Linked DNA regions of Danio rerio. The protein of the gene in region 1 interacts with the protein of each later gene in a pairwise test. Links are inferred from orthologs where the notes say so. Each region holds a gene or a part of one and is shown on either strand. Other genes may lie near its edges. The genes, in order: cinp and atrip.

The links.
Region 2: the proteins of cinp (region 1) and atrip interact in binary tests that used the Homo sapiens proteins (3 or more experiments, as listed by UniProt). The link is inferred for Danio rerio from reciprocal best matches to the Homo sapiens genes CINP and ATRIP.

Annotation. Positions count from the first base shown.
Region 1 is NC_133192.1:33,201,589-33,205,917, forward strand, and holds the start of cinp (cyclin-dependent kinase 2-interacting protein), read left to right. Parts: upstream 1-1,483; 5' UTR 1,484-1,522; intron 1,523-4,329. UniProt on the Homo sapiens protein: Component of the DNA replication complex, which interacts with two kinases, CDK2 and CDC7, thereby providing a functional and physical link between CDK2 and CDC7 during firing of the origins of replication.
Region 2 is NC_133197.1:10,190,679-10,195,148, forward strand, and holds the start of atrip (ATR-interacting protein), read left to right. Parts: upstream 1-1,544; 5' UTR 1,545-1,741; intron 1,742-3,387; exon of another isoform or gene 3,388-3,390; 5' UTR 3,391-3,402; coding exon 3,403-3,703; intron 3,704-4,108; coding exon of another isoform or gene 4,109-4,174; intron 4,175-4,470. UniProt on the Homo sapiens protein: Required for checkpoint signaling after DNA damage. Required for ATR expression, possibly by stabilizing the protein.

The DNA.
Region 1 (4,329 bases):
GTCAAGAAAGAGGGGAAGATGAATGCAGTAATGTACAGAAACATCCTGAATGAAAACCTGCTTTAGAGTGTTCTTGACCTCAGACTGGGGCGACGGTTCATCTTCCAGCAGGACAATGACCCAAAGCACACCGCCAAAATACCAGAAGTAGCTTTCAACTTGGTGAATGTCCTTGAGTGGCCCAGCCAGAGCCCAGCCCTAAATCCTATTGAACATCTCTGAAAATGGCTGTACACCGCTGCTTTCCATCCAACCTGATAGAGCTTGAGAGGTACTGCAAAGAGGAGTGGGCAAAAATTCCCAAAGACAGGTGTGCCAAGCTCGTAGCATCGTATTCAAAAAGACTTGAGGCTGTAATTTCTGCCAAAGGTGCATCAACAAACTATTGAGCTGTGAATACTGATGTGCATGTGATTTTTCAGGTTTTTTATTTTTAATAAATTTGCAACAATTTCAAAAAATCATTTTTCAAATTGTCATTATGGGGTATTGTGTGTGGAATGTTGAGGAAATAAATGAATTTTATCCATTTTTGAATAAGACTGTCACATAAAAACATGTGGAAAAGGTGAAGCGCTATGAATACTTTCCGGATGCACTGTATGAAGTGGATCCCAGCTATCGAGGACTTCCAAGACAACACATACACTTAATAAACAAATACACTTTATCAAACGTGTACACATAGACATCACCTATATATGCAATTAAATTGCAGGTTAACCATGTCTGAATAATTTGATTGAAACTTTAACTAGATCTGATTGTAATGCGATAATGTGCACCTTTTGTAAAGCAGCTTAAGAACAGTACTGATAGTAAAAACTGCTATACAGATAAACTTGAATTGAAAAAGTTGAATGAACATTAACATGCAGAGAGCCCCCCTCCTCAATACAAGTCCCCAAACTTGTTGTCGTATGCATACACAATTGACTTAACGTTCTAATATTAGGTTCATCGAAACAGTTATTTCTGAGACTTAATTCGAGAAATGTACCAAATTAGGCGACAGGAAAAACTAATAAATACAGTGCCTTAATAAATGTTTTAATTTTAAAAAGGGAACAGTGCAGGAGACTGCGAAAAGGACTGTTGAATTAAAGTGATTTTCATCAGGAAGATGCAGTCATTTTTATAGAATATTAGAGCTTCTGTGTGACAAAGTTACACGCCCAACAAAAAAAAAAAATAGCAAACCAAAACTTCACTCATTTGCCTTTGACGTAGTCCCTGAAATATCACAGGCCACCACAGCAGAATGAACCACCATATAACTTTGGCATATGTTGTTGTTTTTACATGTGGCGGGTGTACTAGTAAGACAAATAAATTATAAATTATTGAAATCGCAAATCCATGGACCCTGAGAGCACATGCCTCTTCAGTTCTCGCACATTTAGCCAGTTATGTAATGAGTTATCTGAACCAGCAGATGGCGATAACTGGCTGTGAAAATGTCATAGCATGACACGGCAGAAGCAGAGCAAGAGTGGAAAACAAACACGCGAGTCTTGGGGATGTTGATCGGCATACTGACGAGCTCCTGAGGGCGCCGGGCGTGAGCGAGGACGCTGAGTTTTGAATGGTGAAAACTATACAAACAATACAACGTTTAAAGAAATTGGAATTGCTGGATGGAAACAACAGAAAGAAAAGTGGAGGTACTGGACATAGATGTCGAAATATGTGGACTAAGTCTGGGAAATCTGGAGAAATACAGAGAAGAATGGCAGGAAGGCACAGCTGTACTGTGAATGAGCCTGAGTGGGGAGAATGTGAAATAGAAGATAGCGATGATAGTATGGAAATGAATCAAGAATCAGTAAGAATGACAGGTAAGAGGGGAGGTGAATTTGATGGTAGCAAGGCGAAAAAAGCTAAGAACACTAATGAGTTAAGTAATAGAAGGACGGAAATAGAACAGGAAGTAGAAGCGTATAAGATTATACTTAGATTTGGGGAAGACAACGGATTATTAACAATGAATCCAATTAAACTAACTACAATATTGAAGAATCAAGTAGGAGAAATTATAATGGCTAAGGTACTGAGGGATGGAAATCTACTAATTGTGTGCAAAAGTGAGGAACAAAGAGAAAGAGCCATGAAAATCAAGGAAATAGGCAAATACAAAGTGTCAAATATGAGCAAAATCGGAGTAGGAAATAAACTGAGTAAAGGAGTAATCTGGGGAGTGCCAGTTGGAGTAAATATAGAGGATCTAAAATCAAATTTGCGAGGGGGAAAGATCAAAGAAGTCAGGCGAATGCAAACAGTGAGAGATGGTACAAGGAGTGATAGTGAAGGAATTCTGATTTTTTTTGATGATGAAGTTTTACCATCAAAAGTGACACTAGGATATCTGAGCTACAGAGTGAGAGAATACATACCTAGACCAGTGAGGTGCTATAACTGCCAAAGATTTGGGCATGTGGCGAAAATATGCAAAGGGAAGAAAAGATGTGCAAGGTGTGGGGGGAATCATGGATATGAAGAATGTAATCAAAACACACAGCCAAAATGTTGCAGTTGTGGGGAAAATCATAGTGTGGCATATGGAGGGTGTGTAGTAATGAAGAAAGAGAGGGAAATTCAACAAATAAAAACTCAAAATAAAATAACATATGCAGAAGCAGTTAGGAGAATAAAACAAAGAGAGAGAACTGAGGAAAATCCAGTTCTAGTCAGACAAAATGTGGAAATGCAGGAGGAAGTGGGTGATGAGAAAATATTGATAGAAGTTAAAAAATTGGTAACATTTATTGCAGGAGTAATAAATGCAACGATGGAAATCAAGTCAAAAACAGAAAGAATTCAGGTCATAGTGAAGGCTGCTGTCCATCATCTGGGTGTAAGTGGGATAACATGGGAGGAAGTGAGAAATGATCTGAATGCAAAAACAAGCCAAGATATAACTTAGAGAATACATAAAATATTATGCCTACTATACTACAATGGAATGCTAGAAGTCTTTTGGCAAATGGACAGGAATTTAAAAAATTTATTGAGGATTTATCAAATAAACCTGAAATTATATGTATTCAAGAAACATGGTTAAAAATACACTTGGATTTTAGGATTACAGGATATATAGATGTAAGACATGATAGGAAAGAAGAAATAGGAGGCGGTTGTGTAACATTTATTAAAGAAAATTTATCTTTCAGAGAAGTGGAAAAAGGAAAAGATCAGGAATATATTGTGATAGCAGTATGGATTAAAGGAGTAGAGCTAATAGTAATAAATTATTATAACCCTTGTAAGAAAATGGATATAAGTAAGTTGAGACAAATTAAAGAAATTAACAATCGGAATGTAATTATTTGTGGTGATTTTAATGCACATAGCACACTATGGGGAGGGGAAAAGCTTGATGAAAACGGAGAAATATTAGAGGAACTATTAGAAGAAATGAATTTGGTTTGTATAAATGATGGTAGCGGAACTAGATTAGATCTATATAGAGGAAAACTATCAGCATTAGATTTAACTATTGTATCAAAGAATTTAGGAGATATATGTAATTGGGAAGTATGGGAAGAATCAACATTAGGTAGTGATCATTTTCCAGTGATTAGTAAGTTAGCATGGAAAGGGGAGGAAGAGCAAAGAGGAAGAATAGAGAAATGGATATTCAGTAAAGCACAATGGGATAAATTTATGTATTTATGTAGTGTGAGAAGCGAAGAAATTGATTTAAATGATGAAATAGAAGAAATAGATAGAAAGATCAGAGAAGTTATAACAACAGTTGCTGAGCAAACAATACCTAAAAATAAAAGTAAAATGAAGAAGAGAGCAGTTCCATGGTGGACAGATGGTTGTAATAAGGCTGTTAGGGAGAGAAATAAAATGTTCAAGATTTTAAGAAAAACGCACAATATTCAAAATTTAATAAAGTATAAAAAAGCACAAGCTTTAGTGAAAAAGACTATTAAGGAGGCAAAGAAGCAAAGTTGGAGAGATTATTGTAGTAAAATAGGAAGAACAGTTCCGATTGGAGAAGTGTGGGGTATGATAAAGAGTATGCGAGGAATTAAAAAACAATGGCAATATCCAGTGTTAAAAGCAGGGGAGGAATTAGCGAGTACAGAAGAAGGAAAAGCAGAAATGATTGCAAAAGAAATTGTTAAAGTATATAGTTCAAATAATTTGACAGAAAAGGGACTGAGAAGTAGAGAAAGAACAAAAGCTAAATATCCAGGCATAAGTGATAAAAAAGAGAAAACAGATAGTTCAATGGATGCTCCGTTTACTTTAGGAGAACTGAAGAGGGCATTAGAAACATTTCAGGCAACAGCACCAGGTAAAGATAATATATGCTAT
Region 2 (4,470 bases), on another chromosome or scaffold:
ACGAGTGATTAATTTCTATAAACAAGCATCGGATCACGTATCAAAGAAGTAACATTGAGCACTTTTTTGTTTCCTTTTTTATAACCGTGCGTGAAATTTATTATACGCAAATATGCACGTTAATATTCATAATCAATATTGTTGTGTCTCAGGGAATTTTCACCGACACGAGACCCTAACATGAAATGCAGACAAAATATATGCATATTATGGCCACAAGTGGACTCATTCATTCCCACAATTTACTAATATATCTGCACGTTTTACTCATTTGTTTCAAGTGATCTCTACTAAACTGTGGGCATGTTGTAATAATTACTTTAAAAAACCTAAATAAAACAACAACAAAAACACTCGACATGCAACATGCTCGTACAACATGCACGAATTGTGCGAGATAAAAAAGTATGTTTTCATAGATACATTAGCAAAGATGCTAAATATCTGTAGACACACTACTGAACAAAGCTGCAGATAGTATTGTTTACCTTAGCACACTGTAGCCTATAAATATTTTTTATGTCTATATAAATTAAGGTAAGGCAGCTATATTTAGCACACTTATTACAGTTTGTAACATGCTAACTTAGCTCATATTTGTTAACTGCAAAGGTTTTGTCGTATAAAAAAGATCTGCTTGTTGTGATCACATAAAAATGTACACAATCATTTGTTCTCGTCAATAAATCGTAATAGTTGAAATAATAATAGTTCCAACTTAAAACAGCAGCAACAAAAACACTCCGTAGTTACATGCACACATTGTGTGAGATAAAAAAGTATGTTGTTCATAGCGAAGATGCTAAATCTGACACAATAGCTGTAGACAAATCTTTAAAGCAGCAAACAGATTTCACCTTTTATTAGTTTATTTCTGTAGCCTAACAATGTTATGAAGTCTAACTATATCATTTTTACATCTTTTGTTAAAAATAAAGCCTTTCGCAGCTATTTAGCGCAATTATTACAATTGGTTATAACCTGCATGCTAACTTAGCTCATAATAACTGCAAAAGTTTTGTCGTATATGGTGTAATCACATAAAAATGTACCTGCTGATTTTTAGTGATGATTTTGCTTAAAATGTATCAAAAATATCACTAAACACTATTTATTTTGTGTGTGCACCTTGTAAATATATTTTTAATCTTACTCATACTACTCTGCGTCAGTGTTTTGTTGTGAACTCATATTTTTCCATTTAAACTAAAATAATACAATCTTGAAGCCTTGCGATATGTTTACTACAGGTACGAGTATGTATAAGCTAAATGGTGAAGAAAACGTTTAACAAGCCCAAACTTTTATAAACACATCTTGTTGAACATGTTTAGACAACTTCCAAATCACGGCTTTGTGCAAGTTTTCTGAATCAAAATGAATGGTTCAAAACGCATTTTGTCGCAAGAGTGTCTCCGTAATACGTGCGCTACTCCTTTGACGAATCAGAGCTCACCGCTACACACTATGGCAGTGGTTTAGCCAATCAGGTGATGTTTTACTACCGCGTACGCTTTCGTCTGGCCGCATGGACACTCCTCCTCGCTTGAATGAATACCGAACCTTCAGAAATGCCTCCAACTTTTCCTCTTTTCGGTTATTTGTTTGTTTGGTCAACTACTTTTATGTAAACATTTCAGAATTGCACTTTATCTGGAGTGTTTACTTTTGGTTTGTCATGTCGGTGATTTGACGGGCAGTTGCAGGTTATGCAGGAATCTGAGGAGCGTAAATCAAGCAGGTGACTGATAAACTTGAGCACTTTACTACACCTTTACCATGTTAAAATTGGAGTCTGGAAGAGCATTGTGTGTTAGTTTGTTAGTCCGGTAGTAATGTACACTTTATAGGCTGAAAAATAACTGGATTTTTGACCAGTAAGTGAGTGTTATCGTATTAAAATTGTCACATGCTAACTGCTTGATATTAATGAACTGGCACGAACCGTACTGTATGTCAGGGTTTTGCAGTCTTTTATATGTCACGGACATCCAAACCCAAAATGTAAACTACATATTTGTAGTTGCAAAATACATTTATACTGCGAAAACTAGTGTTAGATAATGTGTCTAATGTTTTTTTCTAAATTATTTATTTTCTGCTATAATTTTTTGCAGATTATTAATGAATTCGTTGTCCTGGAACTGTTTTAATTGTTACATTTACAGTTTAAATCAAAAAGCTTGTCTATTTAATTGAAATAATTAGATGGATAGGTTTTTAATAAATATAGAAATGTGTGTTTAAACATTTATTTATATTGTAATACATATAGACATGTTACCCTGGATGTTATGAGGCTAGAATAAAAGCAGTTTTTAATTTTTTAAAAACATTTAAGATCAAAATTATTAGCCCCCTTAAGGTATATATTTTTTCGATAGTTTACAGAACAAACCATCATTATACAATAACTTGCCTAATTACCCTAACCTGCCTGATTAACCTAGTTAAGCCTTTAAATGTCACTTTAAGCTGTATAGAAGTGTCTTGAAAAATATCTAGTAAAATATTATGTGCTGTCATCATGGCAAAGATAAAATGAATCAGCTGTTAGAAATCAGTTATTAAAACTATTATGTTAAGAAATGTGTTAAAGAAAAATCTTCCATTAAACAAAAATAAACAGAGGGGCTAATAATTCAGGGGGTTTAATAATTCTGACTTCAACTGTACATTTATAGTGGTGGTCATGTATAAACAAACATTGTACAGCTTATGCAGTACTATTTATTATAAAACAGGTGAATTTACTAAAGTTTTAATCACTTTAAGACATATTTATCCAAATTTTTCCAAATTTAATGACATTCCATTAGTGACGATCTGTCCCTCATTTGCAAAGACAGTCCTGAGTCATAAGCAGTCACCTGCCAATAGATGTAATATAGACGTGGTGTTTTAGGATGCACAAATGAAAACCGTAGATGACCATAGGCATTTGCAGCTCTGCCCACAATTGAAAAGAAGGCTATCTCACTTGAATTTAAAGCAACAGTCAACAAAATATCACAATTTGGATCGAAGTCTAAAAAGGGCAGTTTAAAAGAATTATTAGTGGGGTATTTTGAGCTGAAATTTAACACGCTCTAGGTCAGGGGTGCCCAAACCCGGTCCTGGAGGGCCGGTGACCTGCATAGTTTAGCTCACACTTCCTTCAACACACCTGCTTGGAAGTTTCCAGTATACGTATAAAGAGCTTGATTAGCTGGTTTAAGTGTGTCTAATTGGGGATAGAACTAAACTCTGCAGGACACTGGACCAGAGTTTAGGCATTCCTGCTCTAGGGGTGTCAGAGACCTATCATCTTGTGAAAAGGGGCATAAACATTTTCTTTACTACACTAATTATTTGCTGAACATTAACAAGGTTTTATTGATTTCCCAGCAGGAGCTCGTTGACATGGACTTTCCCCCGAGCAAGAGACTGAAGGGCCCTCAGGTGAAGACTGGACCCGACCCGTTTGACGATGACATTGATTTCACCCAGGATGATCTGGAGCAGATTGATATTATTGCGTCTCAGGCCATCAGCGCAGACGTCCAGAACAGCGGCTCTAAGAGATCTTTCGACGCTGTGCTCGCTTGCGCTGATGAACCGAGCAAAGCTCCAGTGAGGTCCGGGCGGAAAACATTCGCCCTTGGAGATGCCTGCAGCAGCAGCACTTACAACAACACACACGCTCAAAGGAAAGAGCCTTCTGGTCAGTACTGGATGTTTCTGTTGCACTGTACACAAGTTTTTATATGTCCCATTGGGTTTTTGCAGTTGTTGTTGTTAATTTAAAAAACAAAATTAGAGACAGTTTAAAGAAGCAATTTAACATATTTGTTTGTTGTTTTGTGTCTTGTTAGTGGGCTATTATATATATATATATATATATATATATATATATATATATATATATATATATATATATATATATATATATATATATATATATATATACACACACAGAATTTACATTTCAGCCAGCCAGCCAGCCTCAGCACTTCCAGTGAATTGTCTTTCCGTTATAAAATTGCCATGTTTAAGGTCTGGGTCAGACTGGACAAGAAGCTCAGCATTAAATTACATTTCCTCTCGCCATGTCTTTAAAATATAACAGTTTATTCAACCCCAGAAGTTTCAATGGAGTTTCTGCACTCACCTGCTGACCCTGACAGCGCTAGAGGTTACACAGTCTTTCATCTTGTTTTACACTTAAACAACTCATGCCGAGTTCAGACTGCAAGATTTTAGCCTCGATTTTGACTCGCTGGCAGGTTTTGAGAAATCGCAGACAAATGCCTGAAATCACAGGCAAATCGATGTTCGTTCACGTGAGTAACAATCACAGTGTGAACTATCAGAGACACAGTCTGAGAGAATCGCAGATGAGTCATTGACACCCATGAGATATTTGTCATGGAGCTGTCGGCAATTCAAAATTATGCCAATGAGAGAGCAGAATCTACTAGTATGAGCATC